4 linked regions of the Pelodiscus sinensis genome follow. The protein of the gene in region 2 interacts with the protein of the main gene of each other region in a biochemical or structural test. Links are inferred from orthologs where the notes say so. Each region holds a gene or a part of one and is shown on either strand. Other genes may lie near its edges. The genes, in order: DNM1, GRB2, DNM2 and SOS1.

Region 1 (7,206 bases), on a different chromosome or scaffold from region 2:
ACAACTGATAGGATGTAGTGAGGTCATGAGCCCTACTGAGACAAAGGTCACTGGCAAATTATGGATAATATAATTCAGTTCATTCACCCTCCGTCAAGCCGCTAAGCTCAAGCTCTGCATTGGAATCAGTGAAGTTACAATTTGTCCCCTTCTGCTTGCTCTATCTAAAAGAAAGGAGCTATTTGCTCTGAAACAGCTCTTGCTCAATGAACACACTTGGTACATCCTTGCTGTAGTCACCATATAGAACTTCCACAAAAGATAGATTTGGGGGGACCATGACAGCAACAAACTCAACGGGCTAACCAAGGTTTTGCTCAGTAACAGTTCTGGGAACCCTTTTTCTCTTCCCAGCAGGTTTGATCACAGTGGGTTGTAAGCTTTTGAGGGCAGAAACTATCTTTTTGTTCTGGTATTTGTGCAGCACTTACCACTATGGGGTCCTGCTCCACGATGGGAGCTCCTAAGTATTGTGGTAATACAAATAAACCATAATTATAGCGGAGGCTTCTGGACAGCCTTCCCACATCCTGATTCCCAGGTACACTAATTCAGAATGGAATCTCTGAAATAGACCATTGAAAATCAGCAGAGAAGAATCTCAGGCTCTTTTGAGTATGTGACAATGGGAGATTTTATTTAAACAACTCTGATTCCTGCTATGTTTTCTTGTTCCTCAAAAACAGCAGCAGTGGCATCTTCCTAATGCCATACTGAGTCTCATTGCTCAGGGTCACCTGAGCCCCTGTACAGCATACTGGACTTACTCTGTTCAAATACCACAAAAACTGGAGCTATTTGGGCTCATGACAGACTCTTTCAATGATAATAGAGCTATAAAATAGCAGATGTCATAGTGCAGGGGCTAGTAGGGGCGAAAGAGAAGGAGAGTGCCCATGCAATAAAGCAGGGGAAGAAGAGGGAGAATGCAGTTGGTGGAAGAAAGTAATTCCTCCCAGGGAAATCAGCACTAACCTGTATCTTGGTCATAAAGGATAGCAGTGCCTAATAGGGAAGGATTATAGCAAGCCAGGGCCACAATAGCTTAAGCAAGCTACAAACAAGCTCAGGATACACTCCAGGTGTTGTGTATACTATGTGTGTGCAGACCACCTTCCCTGATCATCTGGTATTTGTTGAAACTGCTGGTGATTAATGTGAAGGTCACATGAAGGGAAAGCACCAGAATATCACGGTCACAAAATGGTAGCACCCAGGGAGTTGAACACGTAGGGGAATAACCATTGCTTTTTCTGCTTCTCCCCCCAGCTCCTGACATGGCAGCCACTATGGAGGACAGAGAAAGGGGTGGGGGAAAATGAAATTGAACTTAAAGTCCACTGCTGCACAGCCTCACAACAAGCACATCCATCTTTAGGTAGCTGCGTGTGGTTCAAGGCATGTCCTATATCTAGCCAGGTATAATCAGGAGCTGAGGACATGCTATGTGAATCCAATCTTCCTAGCATTTTCTTGTGGGATTCTTCAGGGTGAAACTTAAAGCAAACAAGAAATCTAGTCTTGATGGAGCTAGTCCTCAGATCACCATGGCTAAAGGGCATCTTGGTATTAACAGGTTTTTATACAATTATTTATCTGCACACACAATATTCACTGATTAGTATTTTTTTAAATCACCTTAGATAATACATTGCCAAAAAAGATGTGGAACCTGTATCATTTTTGGTTCTGGCTCGCAGGTCTTTGACGTGATAAAAATAAAGGACACACAAGAGTGTGGCTATTTTCCCCCTGACATTTCTGTCCGTGACATTACATAACATATGGAGCACTAGTCTGTGCTTTACTGGATTTCCATGATTTTTTTATATGCAGCCATTTATGTTATTCGTTTTCCCCTTGAAGCAGTGCCTTCCTCCCCACCCTGCCAGTGCCCACAGCAATTGTCCTCCAACAGCGGGGGGGGGGATGGGGGGGGGGGAGAATTCCACCATCCTGGCTTCTTGCTCATCCCCAGGATTCTGCCTTCTTGTATGTAGCTCCCAAAAATAAATAAATAAACGATTTAGGATTAAAACCATTAAATCCCCTGGGATGTGGGCAGCACATCAGCTCTGTTCCTTCCTACTCCCTCTCCACCCCCAAACAAATGGCTTCTTCTGTGCATTAGTCACTCCAAAAGCAGGATTTGCCTGATGCTGCATTCTTCCCTCAACCTCTTTCACACTCACTCTCCACCTCACCCCTCCCAGCCCACCAAGCAATATGCTGCCCGCCATTGATCAATTCCCAATTAGATATTACCATTTCAAAGCAGACATTTATACAAACACACACATGCACTTCTATGCTGAGGGGAAGAGGGCTCTCTTGCTAGTGAAGGTGACAATCCAGGGAATGTCACTGTTCACAGAGACGCCTGATATCTGCATTGTAGGGTGCAGTGTGTGTGTGTGTGTGTAGCAGGGGCTAGGATGACGGTTCTCCCAAGAACCTCAAGTTGAAGAGGGCAAGATCGGCCCCCCTCCTCTGTCCTGTATTGCACTGCATTAAGCATTGCATGGCATGTCCGTTGAGCAATGCATTGCTCCCATAACCTCCCCTATAATCGGCTGCATTTTAAAAATCTTACCTGCCCACAAAATTTTCCAGCACTGAGCTCTTCCCGGCGCTCTGTCCGCCCACCACGGCTATCTGGGGCAGGTCCAGGTCTGCATTCTGACCGATAGCCGCGAAGGCATCCTGGAGCCTGTTGACCAGGGGGATGAGGTCTTCCATCCCTCGATTCCCCATGTCTGCAGCTCTGCTGGGCTCTCGCTGCTGGGCTTGCAATGCAGACGCCTCTCTCCGCCCGCTTCCCTGGCAAAGGATTTACTGCTGGGCTTTGGCCCCCCAAGTCCTCATCAGGGGTTGTCCCCAGCCCTCAGCTGGGCGGTGCGTTTGTTTCCCCTTCACTCCGCCTAACCTAGGTCCCTGGTCTCTGCAGCAGGGCTGCCACCCCGACTGCCAGCTCAAGCACCGCTAGCCACCCGGCTCCTCACGGGATTTAAAGCGCACGTAGCATCAGCGACCGCTAGGGGGTGTTACGTGCCCTACTGTGCTCCGAGAGCTTCATGGGAGTTGTAGTTCGTATAGGTAAACGTAAAGGTGTTGAGAAGGGAGCTACGCTGGGAGCCAGGCGTCTTGAGAGTATCCGCCTTCAATAGCCTGGGATCTGTTCCTATACAGGGACATTAAGAACAAGGGAGTCTGCCGGGGTCTGATGGAAACACGGCAAAAATCCTCCATCGTAAAAGGGGTTCAAAATTGGTATTCAAATCAATCCTCCAAAATGTGAAACCTGGAGGATCTGAATATTTATTGATATATTTGTAATGAAAAAGCCAGAAATATTTCACTCCTCCCAAACAACAGACTCCCCCCCATACACACACAAATCTGTGCTTTCAATATTCAAGAGAAACTGCAATTAATAGCTAAATGGTTTTTAAATTACATCTTTGTAAATAATCTCTGTTCTTGTAAATGGACGTACCTAGCTTACTAATAATTAAAGTAGAAGGGGTTTTTTTAATTTTACTTTTAATTTACTTTTAATTGTTTCTGCAGTTTAATTTCTGCTGTTTTGTTCCCAGTCCGTTTCAATTTCTGGTTATAATGCCCTAGACATTGTTGCTGTTTGATTTACAAAAAATGCAAGGAAATGTTTAATCATATGTGTTTCCACTGTTTCTTTTAACAGTCTGAGACAATAAAGAGGAACTAATTGGCTCAGTTTGCAAAATAATGTTTTTACAAAAATAACATTTACAGCCATAATTAAACTGAAAGTGTTGTTGGAAAAACAAAAATATTCCTTACAGGTAAGTAATTTCACTCTGGTCATGTTGTTTGCAGTCCAAGTCCGCCCCACCCCCACAATCTTGATAAGAGGTTTGCTGTAATCAGCAATTCTAAAATGTACATAAAATTGAATGTATTTGATGGCCGCTATTAACATTTTTTGCAAGGAGTAGCACCATCAAACTATTTGAATATTGGATTTTATCCTCATCTGTCAGTTTAACATTATAAAAAGAGGCATTTCCTTCTGAGTGAGTCTGTGTTCCAGAAATCATCACTTTGATCATTCTGTTCCACGGGAGATATGAAATTAAATTAACACATTTGTGTTTCCCTTAGAAAAGGCTTGCAAAAGAACGCTGAAAGTGCACTGTGGCAACAACTGACATTCATGTCTTAAAAATCTGACTAATATATAACCAGAGGGATGGAGAAGAGCCAGAGATGCAACAACAGGATTTCTCGTGAGTTCTCACTCAGCTATCTTACTTTCATATTTATGTTTCATAAAATTAGAATTTAAATTACCGATAACCTTTGGCTCTCAAGCTACACACAACTTTGGAAGATACCACAGGCCTGATGTGAGTTCTTTATACTCTGCCTTATTTCAGGAAGAGCTCTTATACTGTAGACTGACCAATGATGGTGTGTATGTCAGCTGTTTGTAGTTATTCAAATTAGAACAGTGGTTTTCAAACTTTTTTTCTCATGGCTCAGTTGAAGAAAATCACTTGAGCCTGCAACCAGAGTGTAAGGAAGTATGCCTCGGTGCACCACTGCAGTAAGCACTGACTGCACTCTGGCAAGAGCCGGCTGGGGCACTCAGCTCATGTAGAGGGACCAACTGAAGGCGCGCTGTAAGGGATGTGTGCGTACTCTCAACTGGGTTAGTGAGAGGGGCTAGTGGTGGGGGCTCCAACCTCCATCTAACCTCTGTAGTCTGTCCCCAGCCATTGTGCTCCTGGGGCAGACCTCACAGCTTAGCTCTGGCAGCCCAGCGACTGCTGCAGGAGCTCAGCCCCTGTGGCCGAGTTCAGGTTCCTACTAGGGATGTTAAATATTGGTGAATTGAATAGTTGAGTAACCTCATGAATTCTTATCAGTTAGTCCACTGTTGTATAGTCCCTGGGGGCAAGGCTAGCAGCCAGTACTCTCCAGCCTCACTCCCGAGAAGACCCCTGCCACTCTGTGCTACTGCCACTGTATCAGAGAGAGCAGCGTGGGGTGACAGCTGGGAGCTGGTCCATGAGAGAAGCCAGTTTAAAAACTAGCTCCCCTTGTGGACCAGCTACCTGTTGTCCTGTGCTGCTGCCTCTGATAAAGAGGCAGCAGTGTGGGGTGGCAGCAGCCCCTGTCTAGGGAGTGGTCTGAGCTTCTGAACTTGGCGTGAGCCGGAACTGAGCTGGGCTGCCTGCCTACCCAGCTCCTAATACACTTTAAATGCAAAGTTGCAGCGGGGGTAGGTCCCGGACCCATCACAAGCCAGGACTGAGCCGGGCTGCTGGCCAGTCTGCTAAATAATTTACTGGCAAGTGGGGGGGCGGGGGGCACAATGCGTGTAGCTTACAGCATTAACCTATAAGCTTTTGCTTATCTGTTAATCGACTAAATTTTTACATCCCTAGTTCCTGCCCTGGCCGCCTGGCCAACAAGGCCCCAATCAGGGCTCAGCCCCCATCTGGCTGCAACAGCCTGTCTCTGGCCCCCATCCTGAGGCAGGCTTAGTGGTCCAGCTCCCATCTGGCTGCAGGAAGGGCTGGTGGCAACCCCCTGTCCTGCCGTGACCTAACACTCCTGCACCCCCCATACACTCCAAATGTTGTGCCCTGAGTCCCTCATACACCTGAACCCCCTGCTCTGATCTCCTCATGCATTCCAGCTCTGATTCCTGCAGCCCCACATCTCCAGCCCCTTGCCCTAACTCCTGTACCCCTACATACCCTAAACTCCTGCCCTGAGCCCCTCATACACTCCAGCCCCTGCCATAACACTCCTGCACCCCACACACACACTCCAACCCTGTGCCTTGAGCCCCTCATACATCCAAAACCCCTGCTCCAAGCCCCTCATCACTCCAACCCTGTCTCCAGCACCCCCCACATCTCCAGCCTCCTTCCCTATCTCTTGCACCTCTGCCCACCCCAACCTTCTGCCCTGAGCGCCCCCCCCCCCCCGCCCCGGTGCTCCACTGCACACTTAAATTTCTTACAGGTATAGTTGTATCACAACTTTTGCTATAAGCCCCCTCCCTTGGGTTGTGTTAGGACAGTACCTGTAAGAAATGTAAGTTACTTTCCCCCCTGCCTCCAACCTGACATAATTTGACTAGAGTGTGGGCTGTGGAATGGGGCTGAGGATGAGAGCTTTGGGATATAGGAGGGGGCTCCAGCTTTGAGGGGGGACGGTGACAGGGCTGTGGCAGGAGGGGCTTACTTTGAGTTGCTTTCAGTCAGCGGTGCAGCAGGGGTGCTAAGGCAGCTTCCTGCCTGCGCTGGCACTACAGACCATGCTGCACCCCAGAAACAACCAGCAGCAGGTTCCCAGTCAAGAGGAGTGCGGAGCTAATGCTCGGGGCAGGGGCAGTGTGCAGAGTCCTGTGCGCTTTCCCCACCACCACGTAGGAGCCAAGCCTGCTGCTGGCCACTTCTGTGGTGCCAGGACAGGCTGGTAGCCAGCCTTAGCACTTCCACTGGTCACCTGATCCCCCTGCAGCAAGGAGACCCAGTGCCTGACCCAGTACTGGGTCATGAACAGTAGTTTGAAAACCACTAGACTAGAAGTCAGAGGCCCATAAGTGTATGTTTGCCGACTGCCCAATGATGGGTTAATCTGGCCCTGACCAGACCAAACCAAATACAAAGAGGAGACACTATTACAATTTGGCTCCTGCTAATAAACAGCTGATTTTCAGAGGTGTTAAGCACCCACAGCTCCCACTGACTTCAACTGGATGTGAATGTTCAGAACTTCAGGCAATCAGGTTATAAAGTAACCCTACACCAGGTGGTTCATGTTCTTGAGCCTGTGTGTATACAAGAGACGTCTATAAATAGACAAGAATATAAACCCTGAGGAAGGATTGGGGGAACAGGCTAGGTGTTTATCAATATAGGAGAATATATACACTTTTTCAAGTGCTTAGTCAGTGCTACAACACTTTGATCAGATGCTCTGAGTTATTTAAAAAGACGGTGTCTACACTAGGAATCTATTTTGAAATTAGTAAATGCGACTTAATAACTCCTGATTTAACAAATTCAAACTAGTGTGTCCATACTATGGGGAAACCTTGAAATTAGTCCAAACCAGGGTCCGTTAATGTGGACACAGTACCTTAGACTTAGAGCCCCAGGAAGTACTGGGGAGTAATTAGTTTGAATTACTCTGGGGAGTAATTAT
Region 2 (6,950 bases):
TTTGTTCCTATTGGCCAGTTGTTTCTAGCCTCTCAGAGGTGAGGATTCAGCTAGGGGCAAGGAGATTGCATGAATCTTCTCCCTTCCTGCAGAGCAGAGAGATGCACAGGCTGAGCTTTAAACCACACAGCTGCCTGGGACAGAGTCCTGGCCAGGTGGGTGTGCGGGCCAGATCCAGCCCCTGGGCCATATTTTGCTCAGCCCTGCCATAGAGGCTGTCCAGTTTGGCCAAAAAGTAAGATCAAAGTAAGTTATTAAATAAACATGAATAGAAAAGGGATAACTAGCTCTAATTCACTAAGAAACTGGTCATATGCAAATTCTTACTCTAAACAACTGTTCTTATTTCAGGCATCAGCTTCAAAACACAGATGATCTTTTACTCTGATTTTGGTCTCCAGACTTCTTTAAAGTTCTTTTTTCCTCTTAGGGTGTGCCAGGCAGTCTCCAAAGCCAGCTGAAGACAAGGGGGATTGCTTCCCGTTGCTTAGTATTCCCAGCCCTGAGGTAAAGTCTATGTTTTACATCCCTGATTCCATGGGAAAATACCAGGTTCAAAATGGATTTCAGTACCAGGTGGTATAGTCACCTGTCTTCCTAGGATGAACCATGACTTGGACTTACAGGATAAGCAAGACTATTTACAAATTTATCACCAAGCCATTAGGCTTCCAGGGCACTAGTAAGGGCTCTCATTAACACAATTAAAACTATAAACAGACTCATACTTCATAACTTCACACACAAGAATGATACATGCACCAAAATAGGATATACACATCCAGCAGATTGTAACATTAAAATTGATGTTACAAAAGGTATTTTGTTTAAAGGATCTTTGAGTTATACAGTTTCACAAGTTAATTTTCATGAAGCATGCCACACATAAAGCTCAGATTTCTGCCACAATCTCACAAACACAATCATGATCTAGTAAGAGTGTCTGAATAAACTGCAATACAGGTCCTCATTTTCCTAGTTTAGACAAAAGAAATCCTTATATATTAGGGATGTAATAGTGTAGTCGACTAACTGATAAGCAAAAGCTAATAGGTTAATGATATAGACTACACGCATTCCCTCTCCCCTGCTGCCAGTAAATTTTCTAGCAGGCTGGCCAGCAGCCCAGCTCAGTCCTGGCTTATAGCAGGTCTGGGACCTACCCCTGCTGCAGCTCTGCATTTAAAATGTATTAGGAGCCAGGCAGGCAAGGCAGCCCAGCTCAGTTCCAGCTCGCACTGGTTGTGCTCAAGAATGCTCATATGACCATCTACATATTTTGTTAGTCTCTAAGGTGCTGCAGGACTTTTTAAATTTTTTTAAATTGAATTGGTTATCATCCCAACTAAAATGTTTAAGGAACTGGTTTTCTATGACACTGTATACTAAATTTCAGCCAGTGAAAAATCATGGAGTAGTCCTATAGCACTTTAGACACTAACAACAAATTTATTTTATGTATATGTATAAGCAGCTTTCGTGGGCAAATCCCACTTCCTCAGATAAGCAGAAAACTCATAATTTATGGCAAAAATAGGAAGTTTGCAACAGAATCCATATATTTCTTGCATCAATGAAGTAGTTAATGTGATTCTTTTGCACAAATGGAATTTAAGTTTGCCTTTAAAGGGGCCTTTTCATCACTCCTTGAACAGGCTACTATTTCTTAGCCCCAACTCCGAAAAAAATTAAAGGTTTGTAATTGTTTGCAGGTTAATAGTCCCAGTGAAGAATATTCACATTCACAAAGTTATTTATGTGCTTAAAATCTTTGTGGGATTGGGTTTTTAAAGAACATGGTTTTTAATCCTCAGCCATCTATGTCCAGGTTATTTTGGAGAATAAAGATATGGATTTCAACTTTTTAAAGCTAAACCGCTAATGGCTCAATTGCTTAGAAGAAAAAGTATCCATCTTGTTTTATCCATAACAAACATGGTGATATTAACCATAGAATTAAAAAAAAAACCTTATATGAATACAAACTAGACTTTAGTTATTCTGAAAGCAGCATAGTTTAGAATCTTTATACAAAACACGCACTATAATCCGTTACCAAATCCCCATTTTCTGTTTTTGTTGCATACATTCTTCATTTGTTCTTTCTAGATTCTTCTTCAGTTTTAGGCATATATATTTTTTTAAAAAGCAAATATAAATTTATGCTGGACTCCTACTCTTCAATAAATTGAGAAACTTACACACAAAACCCATCTAATCTATCCCAGGCATCCACTCACACCTTTACAATTCCATTAAATACTCAGTGTTACAGATTTACCGCTGAAAACTAACACCACAGAAGAAGAAGAAGAAAATCAGTATCAATATTTAGCAGCGTGATGGCAAAAAGATGACCCAATTTTTCTTCCATGCAAATCTTTCTGGCAGGGGGCAAAGGGATGAAACACTAAGTTGTGGATTACTATCAAAGGGTGCATCTCTAGAAAAAAAATAATCCAGTTAATAGTACTTCTCAGCTACTGGTCTATGCTCTAGCTCTCTGCCATTAAAAACAAGCGGGCTGGAAGATGCTGTCGAAGAGCAGCCCAAGGGGTCAGAAGGGCTGTGGAGGAGACACGGGGGAGGAAATGGGATAGTGTGTGGGTGGGTGGGGGGTATTTCCAGAGATGGTGGGGCCCGAGTGACTCGGGAGAAGAGGGCTCGCTAAGCCTCCGCGGCTCTTACCTTGAGGATATCCCCCCGTTTGAAGCTCAGCTCGTCGTCCGCGGTGGCTTTGAAATCGTACTTGGCGATGGCTTCCATGCTGGGGCTGCTCCGCGAACAGCGGCGCGGGGGGTGGCTGGGAAGGGAGCTCTCCCTCCGGCTCCGTCTACCCCACTCACGGGCGGCCCTAGGGGAGGTGGAGGAAGAGACCGACCATCAGGGGAAGTGTGGCACGGACGGATGGCAGGGGCCGCGCCCTGCTCCTCTCCCTCCTCCCGAGCCAGAACCGGCCGCCGCTTCCGCTTTCCGCCGCTTCCTCCTCAAGCCGGGGCTCCGCCCGGAAGCAGCCAGAGAGGAGTGACATGGAAAGCGGCCAATAGCAGCTAGGACTGCAGCGCACAGGGCAACGCGCAGGCGCACCCCATCCAAAGAGCTGGGTGCTCCTGCGCGTGCTTTCTCGGCCCCCGGCCTCATTGCACTAGGCCGCAGCGCGCTCTCCCCTTGGGGACTCCATATTCGCGCTGTGGGGACACACAGAAAGCACCCACACTCCTAGCCCCCCCATGAACTCAGGGCAGGACCAAGCCCCATCTAGACTATCCCTGACAGGGGTGGGTCTAACCTGCTCTGAAATAGCTCCACAGCCTCCCTAGGCAATTTATCCCAGCGCTTAACCACCCCGACAGGAAGTTTTCCCTAGTGTCGGACTAAACCTCCCATTGTTTCTGGGCCTATCCTCGTGGGCTAAGGAGCAGGATTTTTCTCCCTCCTCCTTGTAACACCCTTTTATGTACTTGAAAACTACTATCATGGCCCCTCTTCTCTAGACTAAACAAATCCCAGTCTTCCTCATAGCTCATGCTTCCTAGACTTTCTGTTGCTCTTCTTTGGACTTTCTCCAAGTTGTCCACATCTTTCCTGAAAGGTGGCGCCCAGAACTGGACACAATGCTCCAGTTGAGGCCTAATCAGTGTAGCATAGAGTGGAAACATTACTTCTTGTGTCTTCTTTACAACACTACTGCTAATACATCCCAGAATTTTTTATTTTTTTTTGCAAGAGTGTTCGAAACACTGTCAACTCACTTAGCTTGAGGTATACCATGGGGGAGGAAACCGTGCCTTCATGATCTTACCCACTTGTGATATCAAGTCCCACCTTCCACCCCCAAGACAGTGTATGCATGCGCACACACCTTTTCATCCTTCAAGCATCTTAATAAGAACAGAACTGTCGCTGCTCAGATAAGTGGGAGAGGGAAGGACACACTCTCAGGAGGGAAGCTAGGGAGAAACTTTAGAATTGAAAAAATTATATAGCCTAAATGTTTTTTATTTCCTTCTATTTTTTAAGTGAGACGATATATGGGATTACATTCAAGGGCATAATTCTCCTATCACAGGACAGAATCAAAGCAAATTAGCCTAGTCCACCCTAGAAAAAGAGGGCCATTTAGAAGTGTCATAACCCTCTCCCCTGAGCAAGATTGTACTCCTAAGCAATATCTTCTATACCAGCAGAAGTTTCTAGTGTAGACCTGACCTAAGATATTTCGATACACCAACCCATCAAAAAGCAAATCAAATGAACAGACATCCATTAAAATGTGCACACTTTTTTCTTTGTCTGTGGCCCATTTCCAAATACGCCAACAGCCTGCTTCAATAGAGAAATAAAATCCCCTTTGACTGCTCACCCCTTGCTACGCAATATAACTGACTACAGCCTATAATTGATGGGAATCTCATCCTGAACAAAATCTTTCCTGAACCTCACTTCTGGCCCTCAAACAACCCCCAACTTTTCCTAGCTCAAACACACCAACAAAAACCACACTAACTCAAAGTGGCACCAGAGCATGTCAGAACAGCAGATGCAAAGGCTGCAGACATAGCTTTCCACTGCTGCAATGCTCACCATGCTCCCTCCCCCAAAACACATCTTTCAAGATCCATGGACCCTATATACATGCCTACCACAATATGTGATTGTGACAGGTTCCCCTTGCGTGCCATCTGGAATTGGGGTACCACTGAGCCCACTTAACCCACTAGCCTGGGTTCCCTTCAATACTGTACTGCAATGACAAGATGACACATCCTCGCCAAGGCTCTAACTTAAGCTTTTACCAGCATATATATAAACCCAGCTGCTACATAGTCCTGTTTTTTGTTTCAGCTACACCAGACTAACACGGCTACATTTCTATCACTATTATTTTGAATGACTGACAATTCAATGCAAAGAGGTCCTGAGGCTGTTAATTATCAGTTGCTAGTTGCTACATAGAACAAGTTTTTGTTACATAGCACTCATAACCTAAGTTCTTTCTAAGTTGCATGACCATGCAGCAAGCTATCAAGGACTGTGCAAGAAGGGAGAGGTACCCCTCTCTTGGTCTAGCCTAGCCTGAGCTGCTGTGGTCAGGGAGTTGCACTCCTACCCCATCCAGAGCTGCCGTGGCCTGAGAAAGGTGCCACAGCCCAGGCCAGCTCCACTCAACAGAAAATGCACCACTGTGCAGTAGCCCCAGAAAACAACCAGATGAAAATGTCAGTCACACTTCAATCAAGTTACATAAGGAAAATAATTCACGAATAAGAAAAATCGCCGCTTCATTTTCCTGTCTAGTAAATTCATCTACATGGCTCCGTCGACGTGTTGGGCCTTGCCTAACTGATCAACTAGCTCAATTTGGGATATTTCATTTAACTTCCGGGGGTTATTACAAAACTTCAGGGTGCCATCAGGCTTTGGGACTAGGGCTGGACCATTGGCTGTGGGGTTTTTCAATCACCCCGAGTTCCAGCATCACCTCCATCTTAACTTCTTCACTTTTGGCCTCCAGTATGGTTTCATCTTCACCCTTGCTCTGGGACAGATGACAATATAGTGTTGGACCATCATCCTACAGCCTGGCTGCATGGAGAACACCCCTTAGTTCCACTTGATAATGTCAATGATGTTTGTTCATTGTTCTGGAGTTAATTCAGGGATAACTGCCTTTGTGGGCCATCTGCCTGGGGTAGAGCTCCCTGTGTGACCAGGAATGTCTACCAGTTACACCATGCTTTCTGATAGTTAACACTGTGGATCTGCTCTGGCCTTTGGCAGTCTGGTTGCTTTATCTTGTAGTCTGCTTCCCCAGCAACTTCCACTATCTCATATATGGCCCATGCCAGCTGGCCAGTAGCTTGCTTTCTGCTATTGGTACCAGCACCTGGTATCCTGTCTAAAATCTCTGTTTTCACCCAGTGGCTGTCATAGGTCTTCTGGGCCTTCTTCCAACTGCTCTTATACTTTGGGGTCAGTTGCACTATTTTCTCTCTCTAGAGCTATGTGCTCTATGACATTCTTCTCTGGGTTGGGCTGTTCTTAATCCTGCTTCATGATATTTAACATGCCACAAGAGTGGAGAATCCCATAGACACTTTGGGGACCTCCTGTATTGCAAACATCAGGTACAGTATCAGGGTATCCCAGTCTTTTCCATCCTGGGACACTGCCTTCCAGATCATGCTCTCGGGGGTATGATTAAATTGCTCGACCAGGCCATCGGTTGGAGAGCGGTAGACTGAGTCCACAAAGCCTGGATGTAGAGCAGTGTGCATATGTCCCACATTAATTTTGACCTGACGGGAGTTCCTTGGTTGGTCAGGATTTCCTTAGGGATGCTCACTCTCACAAAAACCTGGAACAATTCTTTTGCTATTGCCTAGGATGTGGGATTTCTTAGGGGAATGACTTATGGATACCTTGCGGCATAGCCAAGGATGACAAGTATACTTTGATGCCCCAGACCAAACTTCCGAGTGGGCCCACTAGGTCCATGGCTATTCTTTTTTAAAAGGACTTCAGTAACAGGGCCTGTAAGTGAGGTTGGGGGCTATGCAATGGGTGTTCTGGACAAGAGGCTCAGTAGCGCTAGACTTCCACCCATACCCCAGGCCAGTAAAATCTCTTTCAGGACTCTGTACAGGGTCCCCAAATAAATGGCTGTGAGCTTACTCTAAAATTGCCCTTGTGTGCTTCTGTGCTGCTAAGAGCTGTTCTACTTCCCTTCATATTTGTGCTACTTGTTGTTTTCCTCCACTACCTTCTCCCTTATATTTGCATATAGAATGTGTGACAGTTACTCCCACCCTTGCTTTATGAAAATTGGCTTGTGAATATAGAGGTACGTAACTTGGAGATGCTTTAGACAAAATACTTCATGTAAGCTATCAATTTTAATGTTACAATCTGCTGGATCTGTATACCCTATTTTGGTGCATGTATCATTC
Region 3 (7,371 bases), on a different chromosome or scaffold from region 2:
CCCTTTGAGAAAACAATTGAATTCCAGGCAGGGCCTGTTGTCCTGGCACAACCAAACCCCGACACGCTTTGCTAGACGAGGAAGCTGCCTGGCGGAGTGGGTGGTCCGAGCTCTCGCCGGTTGCGGGGCGGGTGGGCGTGCACGCTCCCAAATGCATCATGGATAAGGGCAGGCTCTAGAGGGAGTTAATGAGCAGATCTCTTCCCCACCCCCTCCTGAAAGCAGCTCAGCTTGCCCAAAGTTGTCATGGGCTACGTCTACAAACGAGGCTAAGTGGGGAATATTGCCACACCTCATTTGCATACCTAATGAGCCGCCGTTTTTGCAGAAGAGGCCCTTGCGCCAGAAGGAGCTGTCTACACCGCCCCGGTTGTGCAACAAACACCCTCTTGCGCAAGGCCGCTTACTTTTCAGGAAGAACGGCGTTGCGCACGAAGGGGAAGCGTAGACAGCTCCTGGCGCAAGGGCCTCTTCTGCAAAAATGGTGGCTCATTAGGTATGCAAATGAGGCTCAGCAATATTCCCCACTTAGGCTCATTTGCATATTTCTGGCGCAAGAAGCCGTGACTAGACAGAGCCATGGTGTTTTCAAACTCACCGGGCTGAGGCCCTTTCTCCGGAGGGGAAATTGCTGCCGGCTTCCACGGTTGGGTACCTGGATCTAGTCTCAGAAGCAGACTCCTGCTGTTGGCTTTTCACTGCCTCTTCACTAGCATTTGAGGTGCTGCTGGGTCCCTGAGAGGTGGGGGCGGGGGAAGGCTCTCTCAGGGGACCGAGCGCCTGAGCTCACCTGACTGCCCTTTGCAGTTGGGAAAGGCTCCTGGCAGCCCAGCGCAATCCAAGGGGGCTGGCGTAAAGAGCGAATGCAGGTCCTCAGACCCCCGCCCGCTAGCACCCCGCAGTCACAGGGCCACAAGGGGGTGGGGGGCAGTGGGTTACAGAGCGTTACAGCCAGGGGCCTCCAGTCCTTGGTTTCTAGAGTCGAGCCACATGACGACGTTTCGCTCCCGGACTCCTCTCTGGAAGGTGTTTGTGCCCCTGGGCAGTGCCCTGTGCTCACCCGTGGGAGGCGGTGTTAGAGCAGCGCCAGTGTCTGGTTTCAGCTGTGTTGCTGGGCCAGGTGTGTGTGGGCCCCTGGCGGTGCGTGGGGGAGGGGGATGGGTCACGGTGGGGGTGGCTGCTGGTTTGGCAGCTGTTCTGGTAGGGGCTGGCGCTGGGGTGAGTTGTGGGCTCCTGGTCTGGGCAGAACCTGCTTCTACTGGGAAGCTTGGGGGGGGGGGCACAGGTGACTCCTGGTAGCATGCTGGAAGAGCATCTCCCATGGCCCTGCTACAGGGGTGCCCCCTCCCTGTTCCTCTGGGTGGCCTCCTTGTACCCCTTTCCCCTGCCATCCCCAGTCACCTGGGGGCAGTTCCACTAAGCATGGGCTGTAATGGTTTCAGGATCACTGTGTAAGTCCTGGCGGCCGGGGGGGGGGCCTCTTGACCCTGGTCCTGGGAGAGCTCTGTGGAACCTGAAAGCTTGTGTCTCACCCATGGGCCTTGGTCGCCTGGAAGCCATTAACCTCCCTCCTCTAGCACTCACTGTCAGGGCCGTATGTGCCGGTCTGTAAACACTGTACCCCTGGCACCCCCTGGCACCAGAAGAGCCAGGCCAAGCAGCACCCGAGGAAAATCCAAGGAGAATCAATGAGCCCTATGCCTTGTAAGAACGGGGGAGACCTGTGTTCTAGTCCCGCTTTGGGACAGACGTGTTGGGAGACCTTGAGCAGTCACTCTGTGCCTCAGTTTCCCCTCCCACCCTGGGTCTGTTTAGTTGGCGAGCTCTTCAGGGCAGGGTCAATGGTTTGTTTCTCTGTCTCTGCAGCACCTGCCCCAATGGGGCCTCAGTTGCGATTCGAAGACGACACACTAATTCTGTTGTGAGCACAGGAATTGTGCTGGGGGAGCACTACCGTGCAGTCCCTGTGCAAGGGACCGTGGATTGTGCCCTGAGAAGCCCCAGCACCCAACCGAGATCAAAGCAGTGACAACAACCCAACTTCCTCCAGAGCGGGGTGAGGCTGCGGCATGGCCGAGCGTTTGTCCTGCTCCCCGACTCCCTAGGGAGTGGGCGTAAGGCGCTGCCCAGGTGCGGCACAAGGGTGAACTAGCGGGCTGAGAGGGTATTACTGGGGCAAACCGGCTGGGAAGCTTTCTGCTAAATCCTCCCGCCACCTTTAAAAAACGGTCAAAATCAAACACTTGTGACTATGGAAACAAACCAGTGAGATTGTCTCCCCCCCTCCCCCCCAGGTTCTTTTCCTTGGGGTTGCAACAATTTTGATTCACACTCTTGCACACGCTGCTCTGGAAAGTTGCCTGCTCAGCGGTAGCTGAGTTTGGGGCCGTGTGAATGGGGGAGCCATCGGGAATGTGATTCCCAGGACACTGCTGCTAAGACTTGGGTTTCTGGTGTGGATGAGAAGGGGCTGCCCCTCCCAGCTGGCTGCCCCCTTGTCCTATAGGAAACTGGCTTGATTTTCTCTCCGGGGCTTGCATTGTATGTGCAGAACAGCCCTTCCTTCCCCAACCAGCTCCCGCTCTGCTGCCACTTCTCGGGCCTGATGCACCGGGCTTGGGTCCTGACCCCATCCTACTGTGAGTGGCCAGGGTGTTAAGCTTGGCTGGGCTGCTGCAGCTCCTAGAGCCTGTGGGGAAAGTCACTGTGCAGAAAAACCCTTCAGCAAGTTTGGCCTCGTCCTGGCTTGAGCAGACACTTTCCTGAGCTGAAGTCAGGGTACCCAAGCAGGCAGGAGCTGTGCTCAGTGGAGGGGAAACTGGCTTCAGGCAAACATCCAGCAGAGAGCAGGTCCAGCCCCAGTCTGATGGCGTTAGGAATGCTGGAAACTGTCCGTTCTGCCCTAAGGCTGACACTTATCTATAGGGTGACCAGCCCGCATGTGTGAAAAATCAGGGTGCTGGGGGCGGGGGCTTCTAGGTCACTTATAGAAGACAAAGCCCCTAATAGTGGCACCATCCTGACATTATCAGGACATCTTGTCACCCTACTTGTGCCCAGCTCTGAGCCTCTCCTTCTACTTAATAACGCCCCCCCCAGCCACAAAAATTCCTGAGACCAATAGCCCTTTAAATGCATTATCATTTAAGGTAGAAATTTCTCTCCCTGGCCCCAAAAAGGAAACAATGGCAGACCCTCCCTGAAATCCCCTAGTGGCTTTGCTACTGTTTTGGGCGGAAGGTGCCCTGAGACCTTGGATGATGGGCAGCAGCAGAGAGTGGCTAAAATACCAGCACTAGTGCATCCTCCAGTGGGAAAATGGGGTAGAGCCTGAGACTCGGTTTACCATCCTGTACCTTTGGGTGCCCCGTGGCGCCCTTCTGGATCGTGGGTAGGGGCTACCTGCGACGCCCACTGGGAATCTTCCTATTGCTAATCTACCAAGGATGCATGTGGGGGGTAGCAGGAAGCTGGGGGCAGACTGAAATGGCTCCAGCAGCATGAGTGTGGTCTCAAGGCAGAACGGCGATGCAAATAAAATGCATATAAAGTGACAATGTTTGTAAACAGTTTTGGCACCTATCTGGAGTCGGGCAAGAGATTTAGGATAAGCGTCCTTCTCAGTGGCGCTGCTGAACTGTGCATTGGACAGGTTCTATATGGGGAACTACGGTAGCCCAATGGTGGGCGTCTAAACTGGGCAATATGCTATATAGGAGGGCAGCTTGTCTAGCTAGGAGAGCTATGTTACCCCATGGGGGGTGGTTCATAGTAGGCTTCTGTATGGACAAGGGGCTGCCAAACAGAGAGAATTAAGGTAATGTAACATGAGCTTCTAGAGGGAGATATATGGTAAAAAAATTAAGAAGACATACGCTAATGTAACGTGCTGCTATACGGAGAAATGAGGTACTCGATTGAGATACGTTCTATACGAAGGAATACGGTACCGGCGGGGGGAGGGAGGGGAGGGAAGAGGACAGGAGACCAATAACGAGGAGGGACATGATGATTGACATTCTGATCACGCCTTTCCTCGAAAAGTCCCGCCTCTCCCAATGAAATGGATGGTGTGGCAGAGTGACAAAAGTTCTGACCAATGGAGACAGGGCGCAGTGAGGGTCGGAGAGGGCGTAACCCTAAGGTAGAGCGACTGACTTCTCCTCCAATGAGGAACCAGAAAGGAGATATTAGGGCGGGACCTAAATATCCCGCCTTCCTGACAAGGTCACGCGTGAACGCTATAGGTTGGGAGAAGCCAGTGACAGGGCAGGCGACCAATAGCCACGCGCCGATGAGGCCCAGCCCTCCACCCACCGCCCGCTCTGATGGAACGGCCGTCCCTATTGGCTAGCGCCGCCGCGCGGGGCGGGGCAGGGAGGGGTGAAGCGGCGCCGGAGGCGGATGAGGAGCCCGTGAGGGGAAGCTGGGCCGGGAGCCGTTGCGGAGCCGGGCCCCGCGGCCGCCATGGGGAACCGGGGCATGGAGGAGCTGATCCCGCTGGTCAACAAGCTGCAGGACGCGTTCAGCTCCATCGGGCAGAGCTGCCACCTGGACCTGCCGCAGATCGCCGTGGTGGGCGGCCAGAGCGCGGGCAAGAGCTCCGTGCTCGAGAACTTCGTGGGCCGGTGAGCGCGCGCGCCGCGTACTGCCGTTGGGGGAGCGCGCGGCCGCGCCTACGCCGCTTGCGTAAGCCGGCGGGACGGGAGCGGCCGGGCGGCTCCGCGGCTGGCGCAGGCGCGGTCTGTGAATCCGCTTCGCGTCACTCGCGAGCGCGCGCCGCCCTGGGTCCTGCGCCGCTGGCGCGAGCGGGGCCGTGCGCAGTTGGCGTAGGGCGCGCGCGCTGGCGGCGTAGCCAGGTCGCCTCTCCGCGGGACGCAGCGGGCGTAGAGCGCTCTGTGAATAGCAGGGGGGTGGGGCAGCAGGCGCGTCCCCCAGTCCTGGGCACAGGCCAGCTCCCCCCAGTTGTCCCCTGCCCCAGAGGCTGCATGGAGCCCCCCTCCCCCCGTCAGGAGCCATGACTTGCTCTGGGGTGCCCCCCACGCAAGGAGCAGGGCTCCTGGGGGGGGCAGGATTCTCCTCCCCCCCCCCAGCTGTCATCCTGCGCCTGGTGGGGGGGGGGGGGCTCGCGCCGGCCTCCTGAGCCTTGGGGGCAGGGCTGCAGACTCCCACCCTTCCCGAGAGGCCGCTGCCCCACTTGCTGCCACCCTGTTCCTGCCGAAGGGTCCCTGGGGCTGAGCCTTGCAGGTGCAAGGTGCTGGGACTGGCACTTTGGCTAGGAGGAGGCTGTTTGCTGCTAACTCCCCCCTCCCCCTGCACCTTCTTGGGAACTGCCAGCTACTGCAGCAGAAGCTGAGCTCTTGTCTAGTCTATATATTCCTGATAGACCCTGTGGAGCTTTTCATAAGGTCTCAGGTGCCATGGCCTCTCTTGTTTCTGTCTCCAAATCCCTTACCTTCTCCAGTTCCGTTTTTACACTGGCGAGCTGTATGTTACCCTGAGAGAGAGAAGACTTAGGTAATTCCTGTTTGTCTTCTGCATAAACCGTCTTCCACCCACTTCAATGGGATAAGAATTGGGGAAGTGGTTTGTCATGCCTGGTGGGATCTGTTAAGATGCAGGATATGAGCAGAGTGGGCCAGCTGGTGTAGAGGGTTGTTCTAGTATTTGTTTTAATTCCTTAAACTCCAAGGAGGAAGATCTTTAATCTGCACTGGTAGGAGCCAGTGTGCCACTTGATCCAGCTAACTGTACTTTATACAAATGTTCTGGTATACCCGGAGCACACTGGATCTGCACTTGTGGTACTGCATGGGCTATTTAATTTCAAGTGATGATCCCTGTTTCAGTGATAGTTTTCCAAACCAGTGGGAAATGGAGCGGAGATGGACTTTAGAATCTGCTGAAAAATGATCCTGTGAAAAAGAAAGTGCTTCTGTAGTCAGGCTGGGTTCGGTCAGCATTTTGTTTCAATGGTCTAAGAATAACCTGGATTGTTAGTGAATTGTGGAATGCATGTGTGAGGTTTTTTTGTATTGATCGCTCGAGCTGAAGTCAAGCTCTGTGTGATGCTTTAACAGAACAGCTTTGGTTGTTGTTTCATTAATGGCACTTAACTTGCAGATTAGTGGGGGTAGATGTCAGCATCTTTGAATTCCTTAATCACAATTTTCAGGACTCTTTAAAAAGTGGTACAAGGATCTACAGGAGAACAAGTGTCTGCAAGGTGGGGAGGACAGTTTTGTCAGAGCAGCTGACAAGGTTCCAGAGCGTAATTCTAGAAACTGGAACCTGTTCTTCATTCAAGTTAATCTTAGACTTATAGCAGAGTCCTAGCCTTTTGCTGTTCCCATGGCAATAATGCCCATGATGATCTTAATTCAAATGGGGTCCTTTTCTGCTGGTGCTGTACAAACCAGGACCTGGAAATTGTGTACCTGGATGGATTAGGGATGTTAAGAAGCATGTAATTGGTTAATTGTGTAGTGGACAAACGTTTTGTCAACTACATGATTAATCAGTAAGGAGTAACACTGCTACCACTCGCTCCTGGCTCCTGCTGGCTCCGGCCACTACCCCCGCTGTGGCTCTGCACTACAAGCGCTTGTACTGCAGAGCCACAGCAGGGGTTGATGCTGGGGCCTGGCACGAAGAGCCAGTGTGCAGGCAGGCTGGCTCAGTCCCGGCTTATGCTGGGACCTGGCATCAACCCCCACTGTGGCTCTGCACTATAAGCACTAAGAACCAGTGCAGGGGGTTAATGCTGCGACTGAGCCAGCCTGCTAAAAAATATATGGGGAGAGGAATGTTGCGTGTAGTTGATACATTAACCAATAAGGACCTGCTTGTCGGATAACCGACTAGTCAACTGCTCTATTATATCCTTAGTGTGGATCATTAGGCTCCTGCCTCGGTCCCACCCTTCATGGATCTGTCTGCAGGATCCAGTCCCTGCTCTGGGAGAGTGCATTCGAAGACAAGCTGCAGCAAGTGGGCTTGCTAGATAAGGGGGAGAGGCTGAGGTGAGGTGTCAGTCACAAGGTAGTGTGGTGACAGGGTAGCTACTGCACAAGTGGACTGTAGAGTCCACTAAAGCTTTGGGTTTTTAAAGGCTTATTTCTTCTGGTGTGACTCGAGTCCCTTTTAATTGTTTCTGCTTTTGTGGTGCTTAACCCCTGTGACCTGGGGAGCAAGGTCACTTATAAGGGTCTGTCTTGTCTCAGGCTGACCTAAGTTTTCAGTGTGTTGAATTTCTGCCTTTTCTACAGCTTGTCCTAGCTTAAAGGATGCGGGTAAAAGGTTGGTAACTAATGCGTGACTTTTGCTACTTGTAGGATATCTTTGGTAGAACAGGACAATCTAACTGGGTAT
Region 4 (7,458 bases), on a different chromosome or scaffold from region 2:
TCATTTCTAATGAAAGCATCCTTAGCAAAAGGCATTCTTACAAAATTATACTAAAACTAAAGTCAGGTCATTAAGCCACAACTCTAATTAAGCAAAATATTTTCACTATAAAAGTCTACCCCCTCAAGTTCTTGTAGAGTTTAAAAGTAAAATTCTAAGTTCTGCCTTAAGAATTTATTATATTTTTCCTTTAATAAAAAGAGTTGAATGTTATTTTTAAAGGCTAAGACACATAGGCTAACCATCACAGCTGAGAAATTTCATATGCACAAACATGCAGGGGGATAAACAAATATTTCAGTGTAAAAGGCTGTGCAAGTTCCTTTAAAGCGATATTTGTTTAAAAACAGAAATTACAAGAGATTGACAACAAGCAACTTTGAGATGAAAAATCATTCCACAACTAACAAACTTGGAAAAGAAAGGAAGTCCCACAAAAAGTTACAATTAAACAATAACAATAGATTTCTGAGCCAAGCTGGAACACAAGAGGAAGGATGTCCAAGGATAAGGCTTCACTGGCCTGATCTCTTTGGTATGGTAAGACTAAGTGAGCCTGACAAAATATAGTTACTCTAAAAACAACGATCCACAAAAGGACAACACAAGAGAACCTAACCAAATGTACTGTTATCTGCAAACATACCAACTTAAGAAAAATCTATCAGAATCTCCCCCTGTGTTTCAGTATGCTTAATAGCATAGTGTTGCACAGTGAGATCTCTCATTACGAAGGTCATAAAATTTACTGCAGTACATTCAGTACAATATGAACTATGACAAACAAAACAACAGATATGAAATAGTTAATTTTTAAAATGTATTTGCAATATTTGATATCATGTGATGTATCAGCCAGTCATTAATGCAGATAAATGAGGCTGTAATGATGAAAAAAAAAAAATAGCCACCCTTGGGCTATAAACTAGGCCGTCACACCACAAATTCGACATCAGAGAAGCACCAAGACACAAACCAGAAGTAAGGCTTTCTCTACACTTAACAGTTTAAAGTGCTGCAGTTTAAAGTGCAGCCGCAGCAGCACTTTAAACTGAAAGTGTGGCCACCGCAAGAGTGCTGAGAGCTTTCCCAGCGCCTTATGTAAACCACCTCTGCGAGGGGAGGAGCTAACAGCGCTGGGAGTGTGGCTGAGCCAGAAAGTTACAATGCTGTGAAGTGTTAGTGTGGACTTGGCCTTAGTAAAATAGGATAGGATCATGTTTCCTACACTCTTGCTCCCTACACTTTTGCTCCAAATCTACTGACAAAGCTTAGAGAATCCTTTACATAGACTTCTTTCAGATAGCAACTAGACCACTGGTTCTCATCCAGGGGTACATATACCTGGGGATATGCATGGGTCTTCCAGGGGTACATAAACTTATCTGTATAGTTGCCTATTTTTATAAGAGGCTAAAGAAAAAGCATTAGCGAAATCAATACAAAGTAGGAATGTGAAAAGTTAACTGGTTAAGGGCTGGAACAGCTCGCCAGGCCTGCCACGGACAGGGGCTGCTCCAAAAGATTGCAACAGCCCCTGTCTGCAGCAGGCCTGAGGGACATGGGGGAGGAGGGTGCACATGCAGGGTCTGCTCCAGCCTGGCTCCGCCAGGGAGCAGGGGGCCCTTAACCAGTTAAAAAGTGAAGCAAACTTCACATTTAACCGGTTAACCAATTACATGGGATTCTACATCCCTAGTACAAAATGAAACCTTCACATAGCCAGTGACTTGTGTATGCTGCTGCATAGACTATACCCTGAAACGTAAGTACGATATTTCCAATCAAATGGATCAATTAGATAACTAAACGATAAAAATGAACCAAGTGCTCCTGTTGCCGTAACACCGCCCCGTGGCGCTCGGCGGCGTCTCGGGCCGTGGCGCTCGGTCACGTCTCGGGCCCGCGCCGTGGCGCTCGGCGAGGTCTCGGGCCGTGGCGCTCGGCGAGGTCTCGGGCCCGCGCCGCTCGGCGAGGTCTCGGGCCGTGGCGCTCGGCGAGGTCTCGGGCCGTGGCGCTCGGTCACGTCTCAGGCCCGCGCTGTGGCGCTCAGCGAGGTCTCGGGCCGTGGCGCTCGGTCACGTCTCGGGCCGTGGTGCTCGGTCACGTCTCGGGCCGGGGCGCTCGGTCACGTCTCGGGCCCGCGCTGTGGTGCTCGGTCACGTCTCGGGCCGGGGCGCTCGGTCACGTCTCGGGCCCGCGCTGTGGTGCTCGGTCACGTCTCGGGCCGGGGCGCTCGGTCACGTCTCGGGCCCGCGCCGTGGCGCTCGGCGAGGTCTGCGGCTGCTTTCCGTACGCCCGTAGGCGCGAAGGGAGGCCCAGCGGGCGGGGAGGCCGGGGGCGACCCAGCCGACTCCTGGAAAGGGCCGGGGGTGGCTCCTGGACCATCCCCACAAGGCCGCCCCTCCCCCTCAGTGGCGGGAGCAGCGTCCAGGCCACTGGAGACCCCCCCCCCATCCTTCCCCTCCACTGGGCCGCCCCTCCCCCGCCCGGCCCCACGCCCCGCCCCCCGGGGGCTCGCCCCGCCCCCTCACCTTTTTGAGGGCCGGCACCAGCAGCCCCCGCCACTTGGGCGCGTTCTCCTCGCTGAAGAACTCGTAGAGCAGCGGCGGCGCCTGCATCCTGCCGCCGGCGGGCGCGGGGCGCGGCGGGGGGGTCAGCGGGGGGCGCGGCGCGGGCAGCCGGAGGGCAGCAGCCGCCAGGGCTCAGCGCAGGGGGGCGGCGGCCGCATCCCGCCCCCGCCCCGGTCTCGCCTCAGCGCCCGCCCCGCGCAGGGCTCCGAGGCCGGCGGAGCGCTCGGCGGGGAGGCGCGCGGCCGCCCTGCCCCGCCAGCCGCGCGGGCATGCCCGGCCCAACGGACGGCCCCGGCCCGCGCGCGCCGCAGGGCGGAAGGACACGCGCCGCCTCACGGAGGAGGAGGGGTCTGCGCGCCGGGAGCGCGAGCGCGGCTGGAATTCTCGGGGCTTTTTTTTTTTTTTTTTTCCCCTCTCTCCTCGCCCGGACGGTTACTCCCGAGGGCGCCTGCGCGGGGAGGGACGGCGCAGGCGCGCCAGGCCTGCTCCTGCGCCCCGCCCACTCGCTCCCAGCCTCAGCGCGGAAGCGCGGCTCAGGCCGAGCGGCCAGGAATCGCAGCCGAGCGCCGAGCTGGGCCGGCGCGGGGAAGCGGTTCCGCAGGCAGCGCCCCCTGCAGGTCGGGAGGGGCTACAGCGGCTCCTTCTTTGGCCCCGGCCCTGGACCACCTGGCTGATGCCCTCTCACCTGCCCCCCTCCCCCCCCGGCTGCCAGGGCTTTACCTACCCCCCCCCCACCCCAAAAGCCCAGGCAGCTTCCACTGTTGGCTCCCAGTGAAGGGGCAAAACGTGTCCTATGGGGCCAGGCAGACAACAGCTTCACCCCCCCCCCCACCTTTTGCAACAGCCGTGCAATGAAACCCTCACGTTCCCACACCACAGCCCTGCTGTGACCATCTCCACAACAAAAATGTCACCTGTTGTCAAATGGCCTTGAAGTGTTACCCTCTTTCACCAGCTCTGAGACAGACAGACCATCACTAACCGTCAAATTATCACCCCCTAGCACAGATGTCCAACCCTGTCACGCTTCCACTCGGTTTTGCAACCTCCATCAAAATATCCCAAATTGGCACCAACGGCCTCCACTTGTCCTCATTGTACGCCAAATGTAACCAGTTCTCTCCAGCTGTCAGACTCATGAACAGACACAACATGGCCATAATTTTTGATCACATGGAAGCAGCTGGTGAAAAGTTCCTGATCAGTCACAACCTGCAACCACAAGTGATCAGCTATCAACATGTGTCATCACCTGTCTTCAGATGACAAAAACTGTTAACCCGCACCAACTGCCAGGACTGTCATCAACTGAGAAACTGCTCCAGGGGCCAAGCAATTTTACTTTGAGGGTAGCCGAGTTAGTCTGTTAGGCTACGTCTACACTGCAGGCTTCTTGTGCAAGAACTGTTTTGCGCAAGAGTTCTTGTGTAAAAGGTCTTCCGCAAGGGCGCATTAACACTGCCATGTGCTTTTGGGCAAGCAATGTGCTTTTGCGCAAGAGCGCCCATAGCACTGTGGACACTCTCTTGTGCAAGAAAGCTCTGATGGCCATTTTAGCCATAGGGCTTTCTTGTGTGAGAAAATCATGTTGCCCGTCTATACTGCCTTCTTGTGGAAGAGCTCTTGCACAAGAGGGCTTATTCCTCGTGGGGAGAGGAATAACTCTCCCGGGAAAAGCCCTGTTTTCTGACGCTGTACTTAAATTTACTTACGTAAGAATGTGTGTGCAGTGTAGACACCTGGCAAGTTTTTGCACAAGAACAACTGTTCGGCTACGTCTAGACTGGCATGATTTTCTGCAAATGCTTTTAATGGAAAAGTTTTTCCGTGAGATTAGCAAGGACGCTTTTCCGCAAAAGCACTTTTTGCGGAAAAGCGTCCGTGCCAATCTAGATGCGGTTTTGCACAAGAAAGCCCCAATCGCCATTTTCGCGATCGGGACTTTTTTGTGCAAAACAATACTGTGTTGTCTACACTGGTCCTCTTGCGCAAAAGCATTTGCGCAAGAGGGCTTTTGCCCGAGCGGGAGCAGTATTTCCGCAAGAACACTGACAATCTTACATGAGATCGTCAGTGTTCTTGCGGAAATTCAAGCAGCCAGTGTAGACAGCTGGCAAGTTTTTCCGCAAAAGCAGCTGCGTATGGTATGGTACCTTTTCCGCAAAAGGTATGTCTACACTTGCACCCTCTTTCAAGAGAGGGATGCAAATGAAGACATTCAAAATTGCAAATGAAGCTGGGATTTAAATATCCTTCTCTTGAAATAACTGGTAAACCTCATTGTATGAGCAAAAAAGGTTATTTCGAGAGAAGAGTTTTCTCTTGAAATAACCGTGTCTTAATAGCGTCTGTTATTTAGAAATAGCGCCATAATGCCATTATGCAAATGAAGTGCAGGATATTTAAATCCCAGCTTCATTTGCAATTTCAAATGTCTTCATTTGCATCCCTCTCTCAAAAGAGGGTGCAAGTGTAGACATACCCTTACAGAAAAAAAACAACAAATGGTCTGGTAGCACTTTATAAAGTAATAAAACATATAGATGGTATCATGAGCTTTTGTGGGCACAGCCCACTTCTTCAGATGATTGGAGACCTATTCTTGCTTACAGACAGCCCCCTAATGTGAAACAAATTCTTTCTGGTAACCATGCCACACAACCACATCATAAGCCTCCAGGAACCCAGCCCTGCAGCCAACTCTGCCCATGTTTCTGTACTGGTGAATTCATCACTAGAGCAAACAAGATAAGCCACCAAATTGAATGGTTAGTTGACTGCACATCCAGTAATTTGATCTATGCCAGCAGTGCCCCACTGCTACATATATTAGACAAACTGGACAGTCTCTGCGGGAAAGAATCAATGGACACAAATCAGAGATACGTAAAGGGAATGTACAGAAACCTATTGGGGAACATTTCAACCTTCCAAATCACAGACAGGTCTCCAAAGTAGCTGTCTTGTCACAAACCAGCTCTACAAACCAGATCCACAGGGAAACACTGGAATTACAGTTCATCTGCAAATTCAATTCACATGCTAATGGACTCAATTGTGATGAAAGCTGGTTGGGACACTCCCAATTTAACAACCACTGAAGGTGCTAACAGCTCTTTGTGTTTTCTCCTTCCTGACAGGGGGCTCTATTGACTTTGATTTTTATCTGCTTCCGTTTAAGTACCCATTCTCCAGATACTTACTAATACTCTGTCTCCCACCCACCCCCCTGCTTTTTTCTTCCCTCCCCTTCCCCTCCTATTTATTTTGAGTGTATACATCCCAAACTCATAACTCCAGTCATCTGAAGAAGTGGGCTGTGCCCATGAAAGCTCATGGTACCATCTACATGTTGTTAGTCTATAAAGTGCATTTCACAAATATTTGGCATTTTCTCCAGCTCCTGGAGGCAAGTGATTAAGAATCTCAGCTTTCATTTTTTAAATGAAGTGTCTAACCCACATGATTTTTTTAAAAGTTTCTCTCAGCAAAAAAAAGAACCATGTTGTGTAACCCCCAATAGCTGAGAAACCAGAAGACAAAATGACTTGACTTTTTTTCCTCCAGTATTGCTGACACCAGCAGTCACCTCTACAGGTCCCCAGCGATTGAGAGGGGCACTTGTTTCCAAGAGAGACCAAGTGGCACAAACTGCAATCAAGACCCACCAACTGTCAGCCTGTCCAGATGCTTTCCTCGCGTGAAGGTGGCCTTTGTATTACATTGTGTTCCCTTGCTCTTACAGAAGTTTACTTATCTTCGAATGGGGATAGAATTTTGCTTTAGTGGGAGAGTAAAGTCCAGACATAATTGAAGTTGCCCAAATGCTCTCTTCTTTGGAAACAGCAGCGTTTATAGTGATCCCTCATAGAATGGAGAATTCCTGCTCTTTCTTGGGGAATGTCTCACAGGCAGAAGTCAGAATCAGGAAAATGCTCAATCTGGAGCTGGCCTCAAAGGGTTCCAGTTCCCTACTCTGTGCACCTATCCTCACCAGAGCTAAGTGAAGCCTCTCCGAAGTTCAGGCTTACCATCCCTCTCTCCCTGAAGCTGTATTTAATGCGCCTATTCCTGTACAGTCTAAAGCAGTGTTTCTTAAACTTAAGACCAAGAAACACCAAACCATTTTTTTTTATGAGGAACACCAAGGATTTTTTGTTGAGGGAAAAAAGGGGGGTCAGGGAAAAGTTGACCAAAAAAAAAGAGAGGGGTTGGGGGAAAGTTGAGGAAAAAAGGTCACCTGCCCCTTTAAGCATGGCCATTTTGAACTCTATTGCTCTCCGCGGCACATCTCCAACTATCTCATGGCACACCAGTGCTGCAGAACACAGTTTAAGAAACACTGGTCTAAAGGCTATGAACTGCTCTTTATTAGAATTATCCAGAGGGGAATGACTTCCACCAGATGCAAGGAAAGCTCAGTCCTCCTCAATTATTATGAACAGGGCTCGACAAACTGTGGTGAGAGCTACTCGCCAGCCCCGCACCGTGCATGCGCGCAGTGCCGGAGAATGGGGCGCATAGAGTGACCAGCTGAAATCTACTTACCACGGGCAAGTAGAAACAGCAGTTTGTTGAGCTCTGGTTATTAATAAATCCTATTTGCATATATTTAATTGTAAGAGCTGCAGAATCATCCCCGATCATGAGAGTCGCAATGGTCATTTTGATTTTCTCCCCCCCCCCCATTCTATTGCATAATTTGGCAACATCCTGTTTCATTTGTGCTCTCTCCATCCTTTACTATGTTCTTTGTTAAGCTTCCCCCTCTCTAAAACAGCCTTTTACTGTCCCCCACAGAACCTCCCAATCCCCCGTCTCTATATCTCCTACTCACACACTTCTTCACTCATCCCTCCAGATGTGTTCTCAGAAGTAACAGGCT

What was found.
Region 1: the proteins of GRB2 (region 2) and DNM1 form a complex in vitro, tested with the Homo sapiens proteins (5 studies listed by BioGRID and IntAct, with this or other methods). The link is inferred for Pelodiscus sinensis from reciprocal best matches to the Homo sapiens genes GRB2 and DNM1.
Region 3: the proteins of GRB2 (region 2) and DNM2 form a complex in vitro, tested with the Homo sapiens proteins (3 studies listed by BioGRID and IntAct, with this or other methods). The link is inferred for Pelodiscus sinensis from reciprocal best matches to the Homo sapiens genes GRB2 and DNM2.
Region 4: the proteins of GRB2 (region 2) and SOS1 form a complex in vitro, tested with the Homo sapiens proteins (15 studies listed by BioGRID and IntAct, with this or other methods). The link is inferred for Pelodiscus sinensis from reciprocal best matches to the Homo sapiens genes GRB2 and SOS1.

What each region holds. Positions count from the first base shown.
Region 1 is NC_134732.1:11,330,138-11,337,343, forward strand, and holds the start of DNM1 (dynamin-1), read right to left. Parts: upstream 3,021-7,206; 5' UTR 2,755-3,020; coding exon 2,594-2,754; intron 1-2,593. UniProt on the Homo sapiens protein: Catalyzes the hydrolysis of GTP and utilizes this energy to mediate vesicle scission and participates in many forms of endocytosis, such as clathrin-mediated endocytosis or synaptic vesicle endocytosis as well as rapid endocytosis (RE).
Region 2 is NC_134730.1:12,214,507-12,221,456, reverse strand, and holds the start of GRB2 (growth factor receptor-bound protein 2), read right to left. Parts: upstream 3,002-6,950; 5' UTR 2,767-3,001; coding exon 2,689-2,766; intron 1-2,688. UniProt on the Homo sapiens protein: Non-enzymatic adapter protein that plays a pivotal role in precisely regulated signaling cascades from cell surface receptors to cellular responses, including signaling transduction and gene expression.
Region 3 is NW_027465894.1:173,550-180,920, forward strand, and holds the start of DNM2 (dynamin-2), read left to right. Parts: upstream 1-4,370; 5' UTR 4,371-4,467; coding exon 4,468-4,628; intron 4,629-7,371. UniProt on the Homo sapiens protein: Catalyzes the hydrolysis of GTP and utilizes this energy to mediate vesicle scission at plasma membrane during endocytosis and filament remodeling at many actin structures during organization of the actin cytoskeleton.
Region 4 is NC_134713.1:196,919,894-196,927,351, reverse strand, and holds the start of SOS1 (son of sevenless homolog 1), read right to left. Parts: upstream 3,015-7,458; 5' UTR 2,622-3,014; coding exon 2,535-2,621; intron 1-2,534.